3 linked regions of the Mytilus edulis genome follow. The main gene of each other region encodes a partner of the protein of the gene in region 2 in a complex. Links are inferred from orthologs where the notes say so. Each region holds a gene or a part of one and is shown on either strand. Other genes may lie near its edges. The genes, in order: nuclear pore glycoprotein p62-like, nucleoporin p58/p45-like and nuclear pore complex protein Nup93-like.

Region 1 (7,560 bases), on a different chromosome or scaffold from region 2:
TACAATTGGTTAATGCTGCCATCGTAAGATTGTAAATTGTAGTCTCTATGTCTCCCAGTCACAGGCAATCTATGTCTCCCAGTCACAGGCAATCTATGTCTCCCAGTCACAGGCAATCTATGTCTCCCAGTCACAGGCAATCTATGTCTCCCAGTCACAGGCAATCTATGTCTCCCAGTCACAGGCAATCTATGTATCCCAGTCACAGGCAAGAAAAAAATTAACAGACGACGACAGATGCCAAGTGATGAGAAAACCTCACTTACAGAATGGAATAGGGATGACTACGGCTCAGCTGCTCGTGAACAAAACATAACTTTTACTGTCCATTTAGCTGGTCTACTACCATACCCTATCCCTGAATCAAATTGTAATATGCTAGTAACTGAAATACTCTAAATCAAAGATCTTAGTAATATTAACTTAGACTTTTTAGCAGAGTTTAATTTGATGTCGTAGATGCACTCATATCCTACATACATCCATATTGTATGTCCAGATCTAACCATATACAAAGTTTCATATAGATATAAGAACCATCATTGTAGGGAAGAGAATGAGATCTTAACCACATGCACATCTACACATTAAGATCTAATAATGTATCCATTTCCATGTAGATATTATAAACCATGATGGAAAAGTTGTTGAGTTTATAGGTAATGGACTGGGTCAAAATATTGTCATTGCAAAGAGACATCTCTAGAAAAACTAAATAGACAGAGCATCCTACCATCATAAGTATATAAAGATTTAACAATATAACAAGTTATGTGTAGATATTATTATACATATACCTGTTGGTGGTGTTGCAATCGTAATGTCAGGGGAAAAAGTTGAAAGGGCCATAACTCCTAAAAACCTCAATGGATAGGAAAATACTACCCACATGCACATCTCTATATACATGATATAAAGATCTAACAAATAATTAGTTTTCATGTAGACATAATAAACCATGCAGGAGTTGCTATGCCAATTTTCTGTCTGAAAAGGGGCATAATTCTAGGGAAACTAAACAGAATTGACAATCTTTTACCTGTTGATACATTGTTTTTGCATATCATAATAAATTATTCTAAAAAGTTAGAAGTGAATCAAAGGTCATAGAAGTTGGTCTGGACAAACAAACAGACAGACAAGCTGATTTCCATCAACCAATCCAATCTTTGTATAATAAATCTCTCAGTACAGACTGTTGGAGGAGGGGGGGATTTTTTTTTTAAATATTATGCAAATGATGAACTTTATTTGTCACAACTGTTTATTTTCTATATAATTTACATTCCATCTGAAAAAATGTTTTGGAAGTATGTCACTTATGAGGAGCAGAATACACATAATGTATTTTAATATTCATCATCCTATCCATGGACTTTCTCTGTTGACTTTCATCACAAATTCTATTTTTCTTTGCATGTCAGCATTGTATATCCTCTTGCATCTTTCATAACTAATACGTCTCCTCATTGTGGTTGGTTTTTCATAATATTTCTTTCTCCTAACTTGGTCAACAATTCCATCATTTCTCATAAATCTGGAAAAAAAAGTGTTTAAATTTTTATTACAGAGACTAGTTTAAAATTGAAATTATAGAATATTTATTCAAGTAATTTGCACTTACATAACTAGTCTAAGTTATTAACAGGTTTATATACTCACATAATACATTTGTCAAGGTTTGGTATTTGTTTATATAAAAAAGAAGAAAATGTGGTATGATTGCCAATGAGACAACTCTGCACAAGAGACAAAATGATACAGAAATTAACAACTAACGGTAACAGTACAGCATTCAACAATGAGCATTACCCTGCTTGGATGGCACCATTCTGGTATACATAGATAATAGCCTGTTAGTAACTTTAATTGATCATACCATCAGTCCATCACTGTCTGATACCATGTATATGTGATCCAAACATAATAATGAATTCTTGCTTGAAATTCAAATTCAAATCTTAGAAAATAGAGTTCTACTTTTTTTTATTTTGGGATTAAATTTTTATAGAGTACTTGAAAGAACATTATACTTTCAGAATGACGCATTTTCTTTAACATTAATTATTTAAACTTCTGTTGTGTACAGATAAACTTTCCAGTGATCAAAACTATAAAGTAAAAGGAATCATCTTATCTAAATAAAAATAGTGCTAAATCCCAAATATATTCGTGTGGCTGTTCTAAGTTTCTGGTTGTTTTTCTTTGAAACTAATATTCCTGGTTTTGTGCTAATTTGAAGTTATTGAAGGGCAGATGTTTGATATGTCACTCTGATCATATTATCCGCAACATTTTTATACGACCGCAAAAATTAAAAAAAATTTTGGTCATATATTGGTATGACTTTGGCGTCGTCGTCTGAAGACATTTGGTTTTCGCACTATAACTTTAGTATAAGTAAATAGAAATCTATGAAATTTAAACACAAGGTTTATGACCACAAAAGGAAGATTGGGATTGATTTTGGGAGTTTTGGTCCCAACAGTTTAGAAATTAGGGGCCCAAATAAGCATTTTCTTGTTTTTTGAACAATAACTTTAGTATAAGTAAATAGAAATCTATGAAATTTAAACACAAGGTTTATGACCACAAAAGGTTGGAATTGATTTTGGTAGTTTTGGTCCCAACAGTTTAGGAATTAGGGGCCAAAAGGGTCCAAAATTAACTTTGTGTTTGATTTCATCAAAAATTATTGGGGTTCTTTGATATATGCCAAATCTAACCATGTATTTAGATTCTTATTTTTTGGTCCCGTTTTCAAATTGGTCTACATTAAGGTCCAAAGGGTCCAAAATAAAACTTATTTAGATTTTTCACAAAAATTGAATTGTTGGGATTCTTTGATATGCTGAATCTAAACATGTACATAGATTTTTTTTATTATGGGCCCAGTTTTCAAGTTGTTCCAAATCGGGGTCCAAAATTAATCTTGTTTGATTTCAACAAAAATTGAATATATGGGGTTCTTCAATAAGCTGAATCTAACCATGTATTTAGATGTTTAATATTTGGGCCAGTTTATCAAATTGGTACACATTGAGGTCTAAAGGGTCCAAAATTGAATTCTTGGGGTTCTTTGATATGCTGAATCTAACCATGTTTTCAGATTTTGGATATTGGACCATAATAGGTAAATGTCCAATTTAAAAAATTTAAGTTTTTAAGTTTCTCTTAGACCACATTCATTCTGTGTCAGAAACCTATGTTGTATCAACTATTTAATCACAATCCAAATTCAGAACTGTATCAAGCTTGAATGTTGTGTCCATACTTGCCCCAACTGTTCAGGGTTTCGACCTCTGCTGTCGTATAAAGCTACGCCCTGTAGAGCATCTGGTTATACCTAGGTGCCTATTTGGACCATGATATATTGTATAAGACACCTTATGTTCATGTTCATAAATTTTATATGTACATTTTGTAACTTTTCATATGGTTGATTCTCAGTATTTTTAAAATTTGATTCAATATCCCAAACTTCACTTCCATATACATGATATTCATGTAATAAAATTGGGAGTACCATTGTATCAAAAAGTTTTTCTAAAATTCTACATGAATTGTTAAGACTTAGAGATTTCTGTATTTTGAATAGAGCTTTTTTAGCTTTTACTATCAATAAATTAGAGGCAAGCTGCAAGGTTAATAAATTTAATGATAGATCATGAACAGCACATGCTGCTACACTGCAGAGGTTACTCCAGTATTAGAGAGACTTTTGTATTAAAAATGTTCAAAATTACAGGAAAAAATATAACCACATTGTGCGATAAAAATAAAATAAATCTTATACTTTATAATATATCACTAATATACGGCACTTAATTAACTATCTTCCTCTTTCTTACTAGTAATTATCTATTGCAATAGATTTTCATTATACCTTTAATGTTTTATTCACATATAATGTTTGTAATTTACTACATGTACCATGTATATACCTTATCGCTAATCCCGGCTGACCCGGCCGCTTGAACTTTTGACGCATACAACAATCACTTTTCCATTGTGGCGTCAGATATTTGTTTTATGATGTCAAAATTTTACGGGAACCTGTGTGATATCCAGCAATGGCGGAAAAATAGCGATAAGGTGTATTGTAAATAGTTTATCCATTGGGTCATTACCATCATGATTATGAAACAGGTAAAACTTGAAACATTTTCTGTTTTAAAAGGAAAATAATGTTATTTTATCATAAATTTTATACGGAAATAATTTCCCAATTTGGGTGAAAATTCCCAATTTTGATAGAAAAGGGACCCATTTGAAAATACCTGGAATCATACCCGAAGATACATTTCTCAAGGACGTACTACGATTTATGATTGTCAATCTTTAAAAAAAAAGACCATGTAAGTAATTATAATATAATACCTCATCAATGCATTGTGGGCTTGTTCTACGTTATTTTTGTGAACAAAAACGGTTCTTGCCAAGAATTTTGCATTTCTATGGCATGACATTTTGTCAATGAATGGTCTCCCTTGTTCTATGGTCACTTATGCGTTTAAAGTAACGCGATTTGCATTAGAAATGTAAGAACATTTGTACACCGATTAAGATTTCGAGCCAAATCAAAAAGAAAGTATGAAAATAGCATGTTTTGCTTTCCTTTACAGAAAAGGAAGGCTTTTAATTTAAAAGTGTAGAAAAGAGTTGGAATACAATGAATGAACATACGTCTTCGTCCCCTGCGATTTTGAGGATTTTTCACTACACATAATTTATTTAAAACATTTTTTTTAGACGAGGAACAAATTATCTTTCTGTTTGCCACTTGCTATTTGTTTTTAATTAGTATTCTTCTACTTATACATTGTAATGACCACCTTCAACACGTTGAAATTTATTATTATATTGATATTTTGGGAGGCGACTTTCCTGATATGGAACTTGCGCCCTATTTACACTTATCGTGATTGTTTTTTGGAGAAAAAAGAAAAAAAAAGTCTTAGTGTTTCGTGTTTTGTTTACTACACGTGAGTTCTTAAGTTGTGAGGTTTTTTTTCAAAGTCTTTAATGTATTGTGGTTTTACTTTTGTAAAAAAATGTTTATTTTGTCGTTCTTGCTTTTGTTTCGTTGCATTGCTAATTACATAGTTGATTGCTTTGATATATAAGGTAGTAGTTGCTAATAAATATACACAAGTGTATAAATGAATCTTAATGTCCATCGCTGAAGATAGAGATTATATACTGCTTCCCGATAGCCCGGTGTCAATTATTTAATGAAAAATTGCCAAAAATATGTATGCGCCAGAAAAAAAGACTGTCGCATACTTCTGTCACCTACATTGGGGTTAATAAAAGAAACAAAATATTATATATGAAATTCCCACAGATACCAAGAGACCAGTTTGAGTCATGGTCCCTTTGTTCAGTGAGGATTGTCGTGGTCTTTGTATTGACCCCGACTGCCCTCACTGACCATGAGACCACTGAATAATCAATCTGGTAATCAAATTTTGAACTGTATCCCATTATTGACACCGTGACTTCGGGAACACGTTGAAGTATATGTCACTTGTACTTTTATAGCTAATATTTTAATTGTCTATAGTCGAGATTACTCTGACGTCCAACGCCTGTTTTGCCAGACAAGCTGGGGCCGTGGGACGTCAGAGCTCATCCCATATCAAAAAGTCTTATAGATAAACGTCATGTTTTTCCTGTTTAAATGGTTTTGCACAAGTCATTTTGGGGCCCTTTATAGCTTACTGTTCGGTTTGAGCCAATGCTCTGTGTTGAAGACTGTACTTTCCCCTTTTATGGTTTTTCTTTTACAAATTGTGACTTGGATTGAGTGTTGTCTCATTGGCACTCATACATGTACCACATCTTCTTATATCTATGTTCTAGTTCTTTTCTTTTTGTTGAAATAAATCAGAAAGAAGAGAGTATCAGTATTTCTGTGACGTGAATGCCAATTTTCACTTGGGAAAAATACAAATCCTGATAAATAGAGGCTTGTCAGTTTGCCCCACTTATGAAAAATAGAAAAGTCCTTATGAATTAAGTCAATGAAAATCTAGGTTTTATCTTTTTGCATTAAGTGGGGCAATTAACGGGATTTAACCCTTTTCACAAGTGGGACCAGTTTGTAAATCAGTTTGGGTTGATTTTTTTAAAAGTGGGGCGAGTTTGTAAACAATGGGGAGATTTGGTGTGGGGCGATTTGATGTGGGGCGATTAGCAAGATGGGCGATTTGTCCTGCTTCCATCCATACCATCAAAGACAATTACTTCTGAAGCAAAATATACATGTGTTATTTGTAAAAACAACACTTAACCCTATATTTTCATCTAATTGATTACTTCAAGGGTGTTATTCATCTGTCTGTATCGATACAAAAGATAGAAGTCCTGGATAAACACATACCGGTACATGAATTTAAAACTTCCCTATTACTCTATAAAACCCTTAAAAAAATTCTAAAGATAACCCTGAAACGACAGGTACATGTAAGTAATTATGAAAATAACCAAAATAGTATCTAATATGCATGTCATCATTTAAAGCAAGCACTTTACTTTACCTGTTGATAATTAGCAGTTTATCATTATGATTCACATGCAGCAAAATTATAAATCAATATAACAAGGTGACATGATCTTGTATGATCCCAAAATAAATTAATTATTTGAAGATTTCTTGGTAATTCATTGTCATTACCTTGAGGAATCATTTTAGAAATTTGAAAATACAATGTTACATGTACAAATGCATTCTTTAATTGAAAAATCTTTCATGTAATGCACCAGAATATTATTTATAACATCCAATTTTTACTATTTGATAAATGATATTACATCAATAAAGGGTTTATCCCTTATATAAATAGTGATCCTAACTGATGATTGTCTAGGTGGTCATACTTATGGGGGCTTTCTTTTATTATCTTATACTGCAACAATTGTTTTACCGAAATAACCTGGAATTTTTAAAGACAGAAATGAGAATCAGATGCTATGATATCAGTCAATCGGCAAGATTTAACAATTCTCAAAATTCTTTGGCGACTAAAATCACCATTTTGCTGGCTAGATTATGGCCTGCTATCCATAAAAAGGATAGATCAGAAAAAAAATTAGAAGATGTTAAGCAATATATAGTGGTTATCTTAGAGTGGTATAATCAGACTTTTTAGGCACAAATAAGAAATACTAGCTGGTTTTACTTGTATTGATTCTAAACTCCATTTGCACATAAATCTCAACGTCATAAGTAGCATGACGTTACTATACATACATAGCGGTACCGCGAACGTCTAATGAACACAGTCCTGAACATCCTGGGGGGCCGCGAATGAAAATTTAAGCAATAAATAAAGAAAAAACTTTAAAATGAAATAACTATTGTCTCTCAAATGAAATAAAACTTTAACTTTTAACACTTAAACAGTCTCTATGCTTTACGGAACGGTTGAATCCAACTTTTGATTTTCTCCTTGGCATCAGTTTTTGCTTTTCTGGTTGAAGTAATAGTGTTGTCACTTGAATCACACGGACTATCTGTTGATAAGAGTTCAAGTGGATATAGCTTACTTATTGGTC
Region 2 (8,086 bases):
ACATCATATTTCTTTTATAATTTTAATTTGTGACTCCCTTGTCCACGAAAAGAATTCATCACACTAACTTGATATACAATTGTTTCGTAGAGTCTGAACCCTACATCATAGGCTTTCGTTTTAGTTAAATTGAACTGGACAAAACATTGACCTAGACATGCAGTTGATCATTCCTGTTTCATTTAAATTTGGTCTATTTTGAAGAGCTGTTTCATTGTCAATCATACCATATTTTCTTTTCCTATTTTACTATTAATAATACATTTTAAGGAAATGGGGTTCGAATTCTCAATAAGAATTTTTCTAATGAATTCAAGGACTAGTCATTTTTGGTAATGGCGATTTCACAATTCTGACAATTAAAATCAACATGATTAAACTTCAAACTAACACATTGCCGATGATGCTGGAAACAGCAACTTTAGTCTGACTTTGTCAATGAATTTATCGAGACAAAAACTGAAGCAACTTTTGTAGTTTTCACACTGTCAGATACAATGTACTTATTTTTTTCAGCAATATCATGTTTATGACTTTTCAATTCTTTGTCATGTCAAAAATATTTTACCAGTATATTTCTTTTTTTAAATAATATTAAAATAATATACCTGGTTGGTTAGCCATGTCTGGAATTTACCTGTAATAAAGACAACATTATATTTTCAACATTAATGTTTCTCATCTTCTCATTGCATGCATATACAACTGTTAGTCACTCATTTAATTAATGGCTAATGACATGAATGTTAATCATGTTAATACTAAAGTCAAACTTCTTTCAGACCTCTTTAAAAAAACAAGAACAAGAGTGAACAATGCTGCAATATCTAGCCTGTTTTACTTATCACAAACGAATTGATATTGAACGAATTTATAAAAGTTTTGCATGAACATTACAAATGGAAATGAGATCAAGGTCAGATGAAACGTACCAGACACCATGTTCACCATGCAATCCTTCTATACACCAAATGCAGTTGACTAATGAACCATGAAACTAAGGTCAAGGTCAGGTGAACTCTCTATGACAGATATGTACACCTGACAATCAATTAAAATATAACCAAATATTGGTGTCCTATTGAGTATAGTACTTGAAAAAAACAGACCAAAATACAAGACCTAGCTTTGAGTGCAATGGCATGCACCATAAAAATGAGGTCACGGTCAAATGAACCCTGTCAGTTGAACATACAGTATACACCTTACAATTATTCAATCATTATCTATACTAAATATAGGTGATATATAATAGCTTATAAATGTAGTTTCTAGTAAATAAACCAAATCATAAAAAATAACATAGACTAAAGAAGCATTAAAATGAGGTCAAGGTCAAATGAAACCTGCCAGTCAGACATGTTTTACAATCATTCCATATAAAATTTGCTGATCTATTGCTTACAGTATCTGATTGGGATATGGATGTGACCACGAAAAACTTAATTTGATATTTGAGGGGTTGAATAAAGAAGGGGGCAGGTGGACTAACTGACATGTAGACCTTGCAAGGAAACCATACCAAATATAGTTTTCCTTTTACTCATGATAAGTAAGAAATTCACATGACAGTCACTTAACAATGAAAATGAGGTCAAGGACATAGGATATATACACAAACTTTGTAACATAAGGCATCTGCATACAAGACATGAAGGTTTATAGTGTATGCTGTCCTCACTGTCTAATTGTAATCCTCACTTTAAGGTTTCTATTTCTGTTCCAGGTGAGACAAAAACTGAAAGCAGAGCTCATAATTCATACTACAATTTTGATCATTCTTCTGTGCCTGCTAATTCAAATTCCACAATATGCATGATATGCAATGGGAAACCACCAAAAAAAAAATCAGATAAATATAAAAATAATTTTATTCATGTGACATGTATAACTATTTGAATGTTACATCGAAATCTATTCAGTTGTTCGAAGTTATGGATTCAAATACACCTTATCGCTATTTGTCCTCCAATACCGGACATCCCTCTGGTTCACGTAAAATTTTGACGTGCTAGGCTAATACAAAATATCTGACGCCACAATGGAAAAGTGATTGTTGTAAGATGTCAATAGTTCAAGCAAGACAGATTTTATGGTCATTCTGAAAAGTGATAAGGTGTATTAGTTTTCTAAAATTGTCAAATTTGCAGATAAAATTTCATGTATACATGTACATGATTTTTCATCTCATGTAATTAAATATAATATTCTTATCCCAAACTTTGTCTAGTTTGAAGAATTAAATATTTTTATTAATAATTAAGGAGAACGAAAAAAGTTAATTTCTGATTGTTGTTTCATTTGTAAGAGATGTTGAAGATACTGAAATGTGCATTCAAACTCAAAGTAGTAAACAAACTGACAATGCCATGACATAAAATGAAAAACAACAAAGAGATACAACAGTTCACAGAAAACTAAAGACTGGACAACACAAATCCAACCAAACACCATGAACACAGGGGCGGGGTATGATGTTGGGTGCTCCAGAGGTGTAAGGATTCTTTTCTTTTAAACACAGCAACAGATCTTGTGATCTACCCAGAGATAAATGTAAGTGCATGGACAGAACTTATTTACATGCCAGACATTACCAAAATACTATACACAGAAATTATATTATCATTCAATTGTTTCCTTATACAATCTCGGGAAAGTTGTGATTTACTCGCTAAATATACGTTGGTAGTGGGTCTTCCAAATTTATGGATAGAAACAAGTGCCTGTAAAAGTTGCACAGCTAAAAACGAAAGCTGGATAAATTTTTGCTAGCACGAACTACATGTACATACACAAGTAAACTTTCCAATTATTTAGGTTGCAAAGATATGGACTGCATATATATAACTTCTTATATATTTCTAATATCTTCAGATCATACAATCACTACAGAATTTCCCACCAAAATTATATTATTTTTCTCATCTCATGCCTTTCGAAATTCTGTCGACTGATTCCTTAATTAATCGACACTTTCGTTGAGCAAGGTATTATTGAAAATTTTGGACAGGGAACTAGTAACAATAGTAATATTAGATGAAACCAGGATAAGTTGGGATACTTTTCCGGAATATTGTGCAACATTTTACAGAATACAGAATACATTTTACACCTGAGATCACCCCCAGTTTATGGTGGAGTTCGTGTTGCTTATTCTTTAGTTTTATATGTTGTGTCATGTGTACTATTGTTTGTCTGTTTGTCTTTTTCATGTTTAGCATGTATTGTATTGTATTGTATTGTATTGTATTGTATTGTATTGTATTGTATTGTATTGTATTGTATTGTATTGTATTGTATTGTATTGTATTGTATTGTATTGTATTGTATTGTATTGTATTGTATTGTATTGTATTGTATTGTATTGTATTGTATTGTATTGTATTGTATTGTATTGTATTGTATTGTATTGCATTGCATTGCATTGCATTGCATTGCATTGCATTGCATTAATGCATTGCATTGTATTGCATTGCATTGCATTGCATTGTATTGTATTGCATTGTATTGTATTGTATTGTATTGTATTGTATTGTATTGTGTATTGTATTGTATTTAGTAGTTTCCGTAAATTCTTTTTTAAATTATTTCTATATTGAAAAAAAATTGCTTGCATTTTATGGAAGAATTGTCAATGAAAGTTGACAAAAAGGACCCAAAAAAATCATCCCTCTTGTCGTAAATTTTAGTGTATAGTTTCCCGTGTAGAACGAACATATCTAAAATCCAGGTAAGGACAGTTTTAACCGTTTATATTTTATTTATTTCAAGTGAAAGTTATTTCCTTTGGGTAAATTTCAGCCGTATATTTAGAAAACACATCAAGATAACCGTAAGTGTTGTTGAATATATATCAATTAAATGCAAGTTAGACTGGTCATAAACTGTGATTCATGGCAGTACAAGTCTGATATTAGGGGCGCCATTGGTCCCCATAGGAATACCTACCAACTCGTCGATATGTAACCTTTGATGCCGAAACGTACATTAATATTTGCATGGAAAAATTGTCAGCTACAATCTAATCACACACCCAATAAGTATATCTAACATATTTACCTTTCTCATTAGGGAATAAAATTGAGAATGGAAATGGGTTAATATCAGAGACAACGACCCGACCAAAGAGCAGACATCAGCCGAAGGCAACCAATGGGTCTTAAACGCAGCAAGAAAATACCGCACTCGGAGGTAATCCTCATCTAGCCCCTAAATAAAATTGTGCATACTAGGTCAGTGAAAATGGACGTCACACTAAACTCCAAAACATATAAATGAACTAAGACTAACAGAGGCTCCTAAATTGGGACAGGTGCAAAAATGCAAAGAAAAGAAGGCTTTACAGCAAAATGATTTGAGTGTGTAGGTAAAGGGTATACATTTGGCTAGCTTGCTTGTTAACTGAACCGTAAACTTATTATAAAGTTAGCTACTATAGTATTCTGCCTAGCTCCTTTCGGAGTAGTCTAGTCTTACAGACAGATATATTAGTTACCTGTCGGACTAGACTAATCATAAAGGAGGGTAGTATACATAACCTAATAATGCCACGGACTTCACGGCTCAGCTAGCAAGCACACAATATATATATAACCAATGATATTATCTTTACCTACACACTCAATTCATTTTGCTGAGTTGAAGCAAATATATTTGTAACTAAATAGGAAAACCTTTGTTTGATAAGATTGTGTGGAAGTGTAGTGGAAAGAGTTGAAAAGTAAAAACTGTCAACTAATCGAAACTTCAAAAGGACCACAAAAAGCACCTGATTTATCTAAAACAAAGAATGTTTAACAACTTATAACATATATAAGATGTCCCTAGCTTCATATCAATGAGCAAAACTATGAGACTTGAGGGACGGTTTTAATCAAAATTGATGTATGTATATGTTACAGGGAATTTGTGAAATCAGTGATTTTGTAAAATCCCTGAAATTTCAGGGAATTTGTAAAATCACTGAACTGATTAATGATTTTATAAAATCCCTGATTTTGACTAATGATTTTACAAAATCACTGAAATAATTAAGATCTTTTTTACAGATTCACTGATTAAATTCAGGGAATTTGTAAAATACATTCATTCATTTTTATTAAGAATTTCAGTGAAAAAAGACTACAACAGTATGAAACTCCAGAAATGATTCACGAGGTTCACTATTCGATTTTAGGATATCTTTAAATATTTCAGGACCTCCATAATTCGATTTAAGGGGGATATCTTTGAAACGATGTCAAGAATTCCTTTAAAAATTGATGTCAAAATGTCTTGAAATATTTAGCCATACATTTTTCTAATAGAAATAGTTTTGACTTTATACTCCGCGCCTCATACAAACCCGTTTACATAAGGTTATCGATAAAAGGCTCTCAACATATGACATACGAAAAAAAAACTCTTAAGAAGAAAATCTCTAGTCTAATTTATACAAAAACAATAAACGAAAATCATTGGCCCAGCTTTGTCCTGATTTATAGTGAGGCACACTTTAGGACGTTGGCTTTAATGCTCGCAATGACGATAATCTTTTGATAATCTGTTGATAAGCTGAGGTTGCAATTTACGAATGCAAAGATTATATTCGAGGAAAATAAGATGAGATTATAATGACAATTGGAACATTTCTGTTGTTATCTGTAATTCAGATATTCCATAATTTTGATCGGATGTGTGATGGTGTTCTAAAGTTTTCGAAACTCTGTATGATTTCAACTTCACTTAGAACTCTTGGTTTAAAAGCTTCGTTGAGGGCAGACAGGAACCCTCTATCAAGAAAATTTAACACGAAATGTAAGCTCTGGACTATCGTTTCAACTGGGAGAATCAGATATATACCGATAACTCATATGGCAGCGCTGCTGCGATGTTGCTACATAGAAATGGAAAGTTCAAGTGGTAGAAAGCTGAAACTATCTCTTTAGTCGTAAATATTTGTTCTCGATCGACCCTCGTTGTCAACATGGACTTTATTACAAGTCCCTGTTCACGGCCGACACTCGGCTAACCGAGAGTTTGGTCGGTTAATCTATATTGAGTATGCGGCTATATCGGCGGTTGGTCTGTTAATCGGGTTGGCTAAAGTCTGTTAATCAGGTGTTATCGAGAAAATCATTGCAAGGTCAGTATGTTTCATTGTATAACTTTTTAATTAAGGTCTTTCCTTTTACTAAAGGGAAAGACCTTACTGTATTTCTTCTGACTATTATTAAGGTCTTTCCTTTTACTAAAGGGAAAGACCTTACTGTATTTCTTCTGATTATTATTCTTCTTGTTCCGCCAAACTTTGACAAAATTTCCCTCCGTAACCGTAAGACGTGTCGCTTTCATGTTCACACTTTGTATCGGTGTCATGAATACCTATCCGGAACTCACCCTGTGAGTCGAAATATTTTGTCGGTTCGGAGTAATCCCTCCGAAACCCAAAAACCTTGTTATCGTTCCAACACCGTAACCGTAATAGGTAGAAAAAAAATGAAGGGTGAAATTTGTTCAGGACCAGACCCCGGTTCTTCGTTACATTTGGATCGAAAAGATTCAACGACTCATTGGTAGGGTTATGCCCCTATGAAAATTAACCGGTGTCGGTTGGCCACCAAAACTCAGAAACCGTAAGTCGTAGACACATAGGATCTTCACCAATCATCATCATTTCATGTATCTTTAAAAAATACCTCAAGGTCATATTTGTATGTTGACCTTGACCTTTGACCTAACACCTTGTTATGGGATAATCTCAAAAACCATTATACTTACAGAAGTTTTAAATGGTGGAAAATGTTTGGGTCATTATGGCGCAACTTTGTTACATTTTGACCAAAGAGATTTGACCTTTCTATAAGGGGCATAACCCCTGTTTTAGGTTTTTGAAAAGACAAAATCAGCTTTTACTATATAACCAAAGGTCCTAGACCCTTAAGGTCTTCAGTAATGGCATTGGGGACCAATGACCTTGACAAAGGTCAAAAGGTCAAAGGTCAAGGTCATGTACCAGATAGCGAATTTAGTGTTTTTAACCTTATATAAAGGATTTTTAGTGTGTTTTCGAGCTTTTTAAGGTTGACCTTGACCTTTTCAATACATTCTACGTCTGTTGGAACATGTATTTTACATTAAAAAAGGAAAGACCTCTCAATTGTTCAAGAACAATTGACAGTTTAATTATTCTTTTTGTTCCGCCAAACTTTGACAAATTTATCCGCGTTAACCGTAAGATGTGTCGCTTTCATATTCACACTTTGTATCGGTGTCATGAATACCTATCCTGAACTCACCCTGTGAGTCGAAATATTTTGTCGGTTCGGAGTAATCCCTCCGAAACCCAAAACCATTGTTATCGTTCCAACACCGTAACCGTAATAGGTAGAAAAGAAACAAAGGGTGAAATTTGTTCAGGACCAGACCCCGGTTCTTCGTTACATTTGGATCGAAAAGATTCAACGACTCATTGGTAGGGTTATGCCCCTATGAAAATTAACCGGTGTCGGTTGGCCACCAAAACTCAGAAACTGTAAGTCGTAGACACCTAGGATCTTCACCAATCATCATCAATTCATGTATCTTTGAAAAATACCTGAAGGTCAAATTTGTATGTTGACCTTGACCTTTGACCTAACACCTTGTTATGGGATAATCTCAGAAACCATTATACTTACAGAAGTTTTAAATAGTGGAAAATGTTTGGGTCATTACGGCGCAACTTTGTTACATTTTGACCAAAGAGATTTGACCTTTTTATAAGGGGCATAACCCCTGTTTTAGGTTTCTGAAAAGACAAAATCAGCTTTTACTATATAACCAAAGGTCCTAGACCCATGGGGTCTTCAGCAATGACATTAGGGACTAATGACCTTGACAAAGGTCAAAAGGTCAAAGGTCAAGGTCATGTCCCATATAGCGAATTATGTGTTTTTGACCTTATTTAAAGGATTTTCAGTGTGTTTTAAAGCTTTTCAATACATTCTACGTCTATTGGAACATATATTTTACATTATCAAAGGAAAGACCTCTCAATTGTTCAAGAACAATTGACATTTTAATTATATTTATATCATAAAAACTATTCATGTCTGACAAAACGATT
Region 3 (8,104 bases), on a different chromosome or scaffold from region 2:
AGTGGTAAATGCCATTCATAAAAATGTGATTTTTTCATTTTTCATCTTTTGACCGGGTTTACCAAATCTTAATCAGTTACTTACCATTTTCTACTCTAGTTGAGCTGAGTATTTTGAAATCAATTATTTCCTAAAAATATAGAGTGTATATTTCATGATAAATACAGTTGCAGTGAACTCAATACAATGTCTTGTAGTTTTGGCATCATTGCATAATAATATATATTTATCTAGCATATAGCATCCTTCAATGTAACAAAAAAATTTCATACAACACAAGTTTGTCAGAAAATCAACATCATATTTGAATGTTGTCTTATATTGTGTGTTTCTTGCCTCCCAACTTTATCAATTTTATATTATTTAAGGTAAAATAAGCCATGGTTGAAGAGAGAAAAAAAATGCAAAAAACTGACTCAATTTGAGTTACAAGCTCTCAACTTGGGAGAGGCACATACAGAAGTGTCTGGGTAAAACTGCACTAGATATATAATTATACAACAATTTTACCTCACAGTATACTAAATCTGCGCCATATCTAAGTGACAAAAGTCTAAATGGTAATGTAGATACTCTAACCATAGGAGCCAAAATCACTTTGTGGTGGAAATCTATTTTCTCCGTCATTATCTATCAACACTGAAAAATAGTTCATAGTCATTTTTATATCAACAAAGGTAATCCAATGGGTCCGAGTACACAGTTATTTCGTAGTGCATTTCTTTTAGACAATAAATGAAAATTAAAAAAATCCCACCTGCGCTTTCTCAATTATATTTTTACAGTGTGTTGTACTACTTTTGGGACAAATTATATCAAAATTATAGAAAACTTCATTAGCTCTTACTCAAAATATGGACAATTTTATGTTAAGGGGGTCTTGAAATCTTTTGACAGCTTCCGAAGTGCTAATTTTTGACCTTTTTCAGCTGGACCTAATCACTACTTTACATTAATATTTATTACCCAATTTTTTTTACAGTGTCATTTCACCCCCCAACTTGCTATATGAGGCATAAAACATGGAGAAATAAATTTGGAAGGGGTATAACAAAAATTGGCAAGTAACACACTGTCCACACTAAGGACTATATTCGTGGACAACGAAAATCAAAGGACGATAACTGTGTACTCTGACCTAATAGGATAGAAAAAGTTGACCAATCTTAATAAAACTTGGTATGACTAAAGCTTAATATATTATAAGACTGCTTACAAAGTTTCATAGCAATAGGATATATATTATAGACAATATGATTAATTCTATATTCAACTTTGTGTGTTAAATTTAGACGTTAAAATTGAGAAATTTCAACTATCAACATTTGGGGCTTTTAAAATTTAAATTTGGCAAAAAAATACTTTTAAAATGCCTTAATATATAATATATCATGTATTTAAAGCAATAGAGTACTCATTTGATATATCAGACTTAGCATTATTATTCAAAAGTCAAATTTATATGAGCCTGTGCTTAAAAATAGAGGTTTTCCAATGAAAGGGTGTCTTACATGAAGATGTAATATTTTCCAGCAAATTTAAATTTGTGAAGCTTTTTGATTATAAATAATCCTTACATATCTATTTAATGTACTTTAAATGGAAATAAAACTTACAAATAACATATCATATTAGTTTAAAAGGGTCTTAGGCCAAGTAAGACTAAAAATAATTTAGGGTCAATTTAGGCCGCAGCACATATTTACATTTAAAAGTGCATATTGAAGCTATAGGAAATACAAATTTGTGTCTTTTCTATCATTTCTATACTCAGGTGACATGATACAATAAATCTGAGCACAAAAAGGCTCTTACATTCAACTTTTTAGCAGACAGTATGGTCTGATACAAAGATTTTTCACTTTTTAGTGAAAAACTTGCATGCAATTTTAGTCTCAACAGGCTTATATTTGAACCACATGCTATCCTACAGAAGTAAAGAAAGATATTATGAGAAATGAAACAGGTACAAAGGACATTGTTAAGTGTTTTTTATACAAATTTAGTGAGGTCTTTATTATTGACTTCAACTTTTATGTGCCATGCTCCTCACATTTAACTTGATCCAAACAGGGCGTTAGACGAGGGTCATTTATACAACACATTTTGCTCATACTGTCCAAGATAATCTTCTTTTCTGTAGATTCAGAGTTCACAAATAAGTAATAAAACTGGATTAAAGCATAGAAACACAAAAATTGAGACATGAAAACATGTCAGATAGAAAGTCAGAATGCCACTTATGCATCAAAATTGAAAAAGCTATGAAATGCTTATTTTGACCATATAATGCCAAAATTGGTCATTTTTGCAGAAATTCTATCAAATAAAAGTTTAAATCCTTTAGTTTTAAGCTATTTGACAAATTGACAACATCAAATCATTCAGGGAAGTTGCCAGAGTACAGATTCTATATTTCCTGATTTCACCTCTTAGGTCTGAGTACACAGTTATTTCGTAGTGCATTTCTTTTAGATAATAAATGAAAATTTTAAAAATCCCACCTGCGCTTTCTCAATAATATTTTTACAGTGTGTTGTACTACTTTTGGGACAAATTATATTAAAATTATAGAAAACTTCATCAGCTCTTACTCAAAATATGGACAATTTTATGTTAAGGGGGTCTTGAAATCTTTTGACAGCTTCCGAAGTGCTAATTTTTGACCTTTTTCAGCTGGACCTAATCACTACTTTACATTAATATTTATTACCCAATTTTTTTTACAGTGTCATTTCACCCCCCAACTTGCTATATGAGGCATAAAACATGGAGAAATAAATTTGGAAGGGGTATAACAAAAATTGGCAAGTAACACACTGTCCACACTAAGGACTATATTCGTGGACAACGAAAATCAAAGGACGATAACTGTGTACTCTGACCTAATAGGATAGAAAAAGTTGACCAATTTTAATAAAACTTGGTATGACTAAAGCTTAATATATTATAAGACTGCTTACAAAGTTCATAGCAATAGGATATATATTATAGACAATATGATTAATTCTATATTCAACTTTGTGTGTTAAATTTAGACGTTAAAATTGAGAAATTTCAACTATCAACATTTGGGGCTTTTAAAATTTAAATTTGGCAAAAAAATACTTTTAAAATGCCTTAATATATAATATATCATGTATTTAAAGCAATAGAGTACTCATTTGATATATCAGACTTAGCATTATTATTCAAAAGTCAAATTTATATGAGCCTGTGCTTAAAAATAGAGGTTTTCCAATGAAAGGGTGTCTTACATGAAGATGTAATATTTTTACAGTGTCATTTCACCCCCAACTTGCTATATGAGGCATAAAACATGAAACTGAAATGGAAAAAAAAAATATCTTATCACAATAGTTACTTATCATTATTATATTCTTCTAGATGAAACCCTCTGACAAATTAAGCAAAATAAAGCAAAACAAATACAATTGTGTATAACAATGAATCAGTGATATTGTTTGCCTTAAATTACTGGAGAATAAGGGCTTTTTCCCCTGGTGTAGAATCCCAATTTGGAAAAAAAAATGGCTTAAAATTATTCCCAAAAAGACAACTCTTTTCCCAAATAGTGCAGTCTCAATAGTAATTGTGCATGAATGCAAACTGAAAAACACTCATTTATACATTGTTCATGCCTACAATGACTATATGTGTAGATTTGAGGGTTCATTTATGACTTATCACTGACCATAAGGGGTTTTGTTCCACTTTTGGTCCAAAGAAGCACAGGTACAAAACAAGATTTTGTTAATAAATGTATATATACAGAATACATTATTCACTATTAAATGTGTACTAGATTAGAATTTAGGGGAAAAATCTCTTTTTTATTAAACTTGTATTGTTGATAAAATTATTTACAATTTATCATAATCTTCTTTACTTATTGCCTAAAACACAAAAAAGAGTAAAAACAAAATCAACATGTAAGGGCAATCACTCTTAGGAGTATAGTATACAAACGATTTTGGCGATACACTTATAAAATGTATGTAGACCTTCCCTTGCTAATAATTTTTGTCATTTAAAGAGTTTATCTATCTTATATAGTTTTCAAGTGAACTAGAGAGATGGACCAAAACTGCAAAAGTCACCATGTATCTGTATCTGTATATTTCTCGGAGAGATTTCAAGAGAGACATTCTTTCAGTTTCTAAAGGTGTACATGAAATCAGAAAAAGTGAAATGGTTTCATCCTCTTTGCCACAGACTCTGCAGATGGCAGATACCTCATTTTGAAAAAATTTCACTCCATATATTTGTCTTCAAGACATGCAAGATGAAATTGCCAGTTGCAAATCTGGTCCTAATTGTTAATTTGATTATGTCTCTACAGTTTGATGTATTTGTTGTAAGTATTGGATGTATTCTTTCTGTCTTATATTCACCAGATATGTATTTTAAGCTGGAGTATCTCTCAGAGTCTTTATTAATTTTTTCATTCCAGTAGGTTACTAGGTATGTATAGACGTATTTACACTTGTATGCAAATTTGTCCGCCATTATGTAAAATCACACAGGTTCCCGTAAACTTTGACATCATAATTTAAATTATTTGACGTCACAATTTAAAAGTGATTGTTGCTTGACGTCAAAAGGGTTGAGTTCAATATCGTAGCAGCTACGTAGCAGCTACGTAGCCGCTACGTAGCAGCTATCAATATCTATGTAATAACTAGTATTTAGCTACACGTTCAATAGTCAAAATCTACGTAGCGCTACGTAGCAGCTACGATATTGAACGCAGCCAAGGTGATTCGGAGTAGATCTAAGGTCATTCGGAGGCAAGATTCAGCTAAATACCAAAAGTGTAAATACGTTTATTCATTTGGTGATAAACTTTCCCATTGCTTTGACTTTTTTTGTAGACTATACATGTATGATAAAAATTACATTGGTGGATAACATGGCAATTTAGAAAACTTACCAAGTAACTGATTAATCTAAACAAAAAGCTTTCTCTAAATTGAAAGTACACTTAAAATATTGCAATCCTGGGAAACACCTGACAAAACCTGGGCGCAGACATTTTGGATAAATCAAGGTAAATGAGACGCTTGAATGTAATTCAGTGGATAACTTACGTTTATTAAAACATTTTAATGATCCAATTTCAAATCATTCTTATTTTCCTTTGGCGGTTTTGAACCGGTTGAAGAACATCAACAAGGATTGACAGAATAGGCTTTTGCCATATGAAAAGGTTACTTATTTATGATGAGACAACAAATAGTTTGGTTTTGCCCTGATGTACTGAAGGAAAGCATATGTATCCCTCAAATCTATTGTTATCCTTTTAATAGAATTATTGTAGTTCATGGCAAATGTGGTACCTAGTCCCTGAATAAAAATGACATCTGGCAAGGCTATTATTTTTTTTCTTTCTGGGATGCCTTACCGTTAATATATTTTTTCTGTCATTGCCAATTTTCAAACACAGGTACTAGACTTTCTATCAATAACAAGAACATATAGACCATGGGAAGAAAATAGTTTCAATTTATACGACAATGTCTTTTTTATATACCTTGGCACCAGGGCTTCCAAAACGGTGATATATTCCGGTCAGTTTATAATGTCTGGTAAAAGTCCGGCTGTGCAAAGCATGAAACGGTCATATACTTTTTAGGTTTCAAGGCTTTTTCAGTCATTTTTACATAATTCACGATCTTTTTGAACCAATCTTTTGCCTATAACATCAACACAATAAAAAATTCCGGTCATAAATGTGACATGATGATTAATTACTATCAAAACAACACCTACTTCAATACTTTCTAATTTTAATCAAAGGACATCGTATAAATTGATCGGTTTATTCACAATTATTTTCTTACATTTCAGCGGTTTGTATCTAATTGATTTAGTCCAAAAGATTAAAATTATTAGAAATTAGTTGATCAACATGATTTGATGAAAAATTTAAAAAGGTTTTATATGAAAAATCGTCAGAACTATGTCGTATGAATTAGAACATGTGTGCACAGGTGGAAAAGTTAATAATGCATCCTCATTTCTTCAAAAATGCTAACATTATTATTGATCTAACGTTCATTTCAAGTATTTTGTTGAAGAAATAACGGGGAAAAGAGCTTCTTCTCTCTGTCGTGCTTTGTAAACGTACACAGATTTAAGTATCCCTTTATGGTCCAAGTTTTACCATTGTCAAGTCAACATCCAGTTAGAACAATGTGAAAACGAAAGTAAAGTTTTTGACAATGTCATTTTGCACAAATAAAAAGTCTAAGGCTGATGTGCACACTTTGAATTATGCACTGCCAATTTAACAGTTACACCCGAACATTACGTTCAGGTATTTCCCATCCAATATTTTATGGAAATATTCTTTATAAAGGACAAAAATGTAAGTATTCACCTCAGAAGCTAACAAAACCTTTAAATAGACTTATTAAGAAGGGATATAGTTACGATACTGTTGTCAGGTCATTAAAGATTGCATATTTTGGCGTTAATATTGATTTACTTATAGGGTCTTTGCATCAGAACTAATCACATTAATATTGATAAACCAGTTGTTGGCATGACACGGGTTATGTTCTTCTCATATATGTTATGATGGTATGATACTAAACCCCTCACGGGGAGGATTGTGCCTGATATTCATATGATGAAGACATAATTTTTCAATCAGTTTAATTGAGGTCCGGAGCTGGCATGTCAGTTAACTGCAAATAGTCTGATGTTATTTATGTATTATTGTCATTTTGTTTATTTTCTTTGGTTACATCTTCTGACATCAGACTCGGACTTCTCTTGAACTGAATGTTAATGTACGTATTGTTATGCGTTTACTTTTCTGCATTGGCTAGAGGTATAGGGGGAGGGTTGAGATCTCACAAACATGTTTAATCCCGCCGGATTTTTGCGCCTGTCCCAAGTCAGGAGCCTCTGGCCTTTGTTAGTCTTGTATTATTTTAACTTTTAGTTTCTTGTGTACAATTTGGAGTTTAGTATGGTGTTCATTATCACTGAACCAGTATATATTTGTTTAGGGGCCAGCTGAAGAACGCCTCTGGGTGCGATAATTTCTTGTTGCATTGAAGACCTGTTGGTGACCTTCTGCTGTTGTCTGCTCTATGGTCTGGTTGTTGTCTCTTTGGCACATTCCCCATTTCCATCATCAATTTTATTAAATTCATATCATATCAAAGTAAAGTTTAAATTTTTTTAATGTAATGTCAATCATTGGAATATGGCCATCTGATTACCATAATTGCCTTTTGTGACTAAGTCTTAAGGGATTAAAATTGGGATCAGATATGAAATGTCCGGCTGGCTCAAATATTTTTTGGAAGCCCTGCTTGACACACACATGATATAGTAAGATCCCCACATGTTAGTATGTTGATGGATTTCTGAAATATCGGTCTCTCTAATATGTCACTTTTGGAATTATAATAATAATAATAATAAATTCTTTATTTAAAGAGGGTATACTCAGTTAGTTACAATAAACTAATCTTCCCTGAGGCCCTCACATACAAATGATACAATCAAAACAGATATTTACACATAGTTAATTTACAATCATGTAGTTCAATGTCATTAACATAAGATATAATGCTGTTTAAGATGTATACATGAAACCAAAAAATCAAATGAAAGTAAAAAATATATAAATACATTGTAGCAAACATTTCTTATCAGGGTTGTGTTAGGTACTTCTTGATACTTTGCTTAAAAGTAAAAGTGTTTTGAGCTTTACGCATTTTGTGTGGTAGTCCATTCCATAATACTGATCCAGAATAAGCAAAGGATTACTTAAATAGTTCAGCTTTTGGCTTTGGAACTATCAGATTACCTTGAGCGACACCTCTTAAGCCTAAAGGAGTAAGGATTATTATCTGATTTCAGTTTAAACTTTTGAACTAGGTACATTGGTGCTTCCATATGCATACATTTATATAGAAGTAAATATTTGTGGTATTTTATTCTATTGTCAACTGTCATCAACCCAAGTTTTTTAAATAAGGGGGCTGAGGGGGATAAAGGATCTGCATCTAGAATTAATCTTGCTGCCCTTTTTTGGAGTTTTAAAATTCTTGAAACTTGAAAGCAGGGAGACATTTGTACAGGT

The links.
Region 1: nucleoporin p58/p45-like (region 2) and nuclear pore glycoprotein p62-like share a complex: the UniProt entries of both Homo sapiens proteins name them as parts of the p62 complex. The link is inferred for Mytilus edulis from reciprocal best matches to the Homo sapiens genes NUP58 and NUP62.
Region 3: nucleoporin p58/p45-like (region 2) and nuclear pore complex protein Nup93-like share a complex: the UniProt entries of both Homo sapiens proteins name them as parts of the p62 complex. The link is inferred for Mytilus edulis from reciprocal best matches to the Homo sapiens genes NUP58 and NUP93.

The regions. Positions count from the first base shown.
Region 1 is NC_092344.1:96,295,767-96,303,326, forward strand, and holds the start of nuclear pore glycoprotein p62-like, read left to right. Parts: upstream 1-4,492; 5' UTR 4,493-4,591; exon of another isoform or gene 4,592-4,985; intron 4,986-7,411; coding exon of another isoform or gene 7,412-7,560. Other genes in the region: small ribosomal subunit protein bS21m-like, read right to left, coding at 1,360-1,537, 4,381-4,469; uncharacterized protein, read right to left, coding at 7,412-7,560. UniProt on the Homo sapiens protein: Essential component of the nuclear pore complex. The N-terminal is probably involved in nucleocytoplasmic transport.
Region 2 is NC_092351.1:34,502,142-34,510,227, reverse strand, and holds the start of nucleoporin p58/p45-like, read right to left. Parts: upstream 3,011-8,086; 5' UTR 2,793-3,010; intron 638-2,792; 5' UTR 625-637; coding exon 609-624; intron 1-608. UniProt on the Homo sapiens protein: Component of the nuclear pore complex, a complex required for the trafficking across the nuclear membrane.
Region 3 is NC_092348.1:93,170,394-93,178,497, forward strand, and holds the start of nuclear pore complex protein Nup93-like, read left to right. Parts: upstream 1-5,095; 5' UTR 5,096-5,209; intron 5,210-8,104. Other genes in the region: tRNA-dihydrouridine(20) synthase [NAD(P)+]-like, read right to left, coding at 85-130, 511-627. UniProt on the Homo sapiens protein: Plays a role in the nuclear pore complex (NPC) assembly and/or maintenance. May anchor nucleoporins, but not NUP153 and TPR, to the NPC. During renal development, regulates podocyte migration and proliferation through SMAD4 signaling.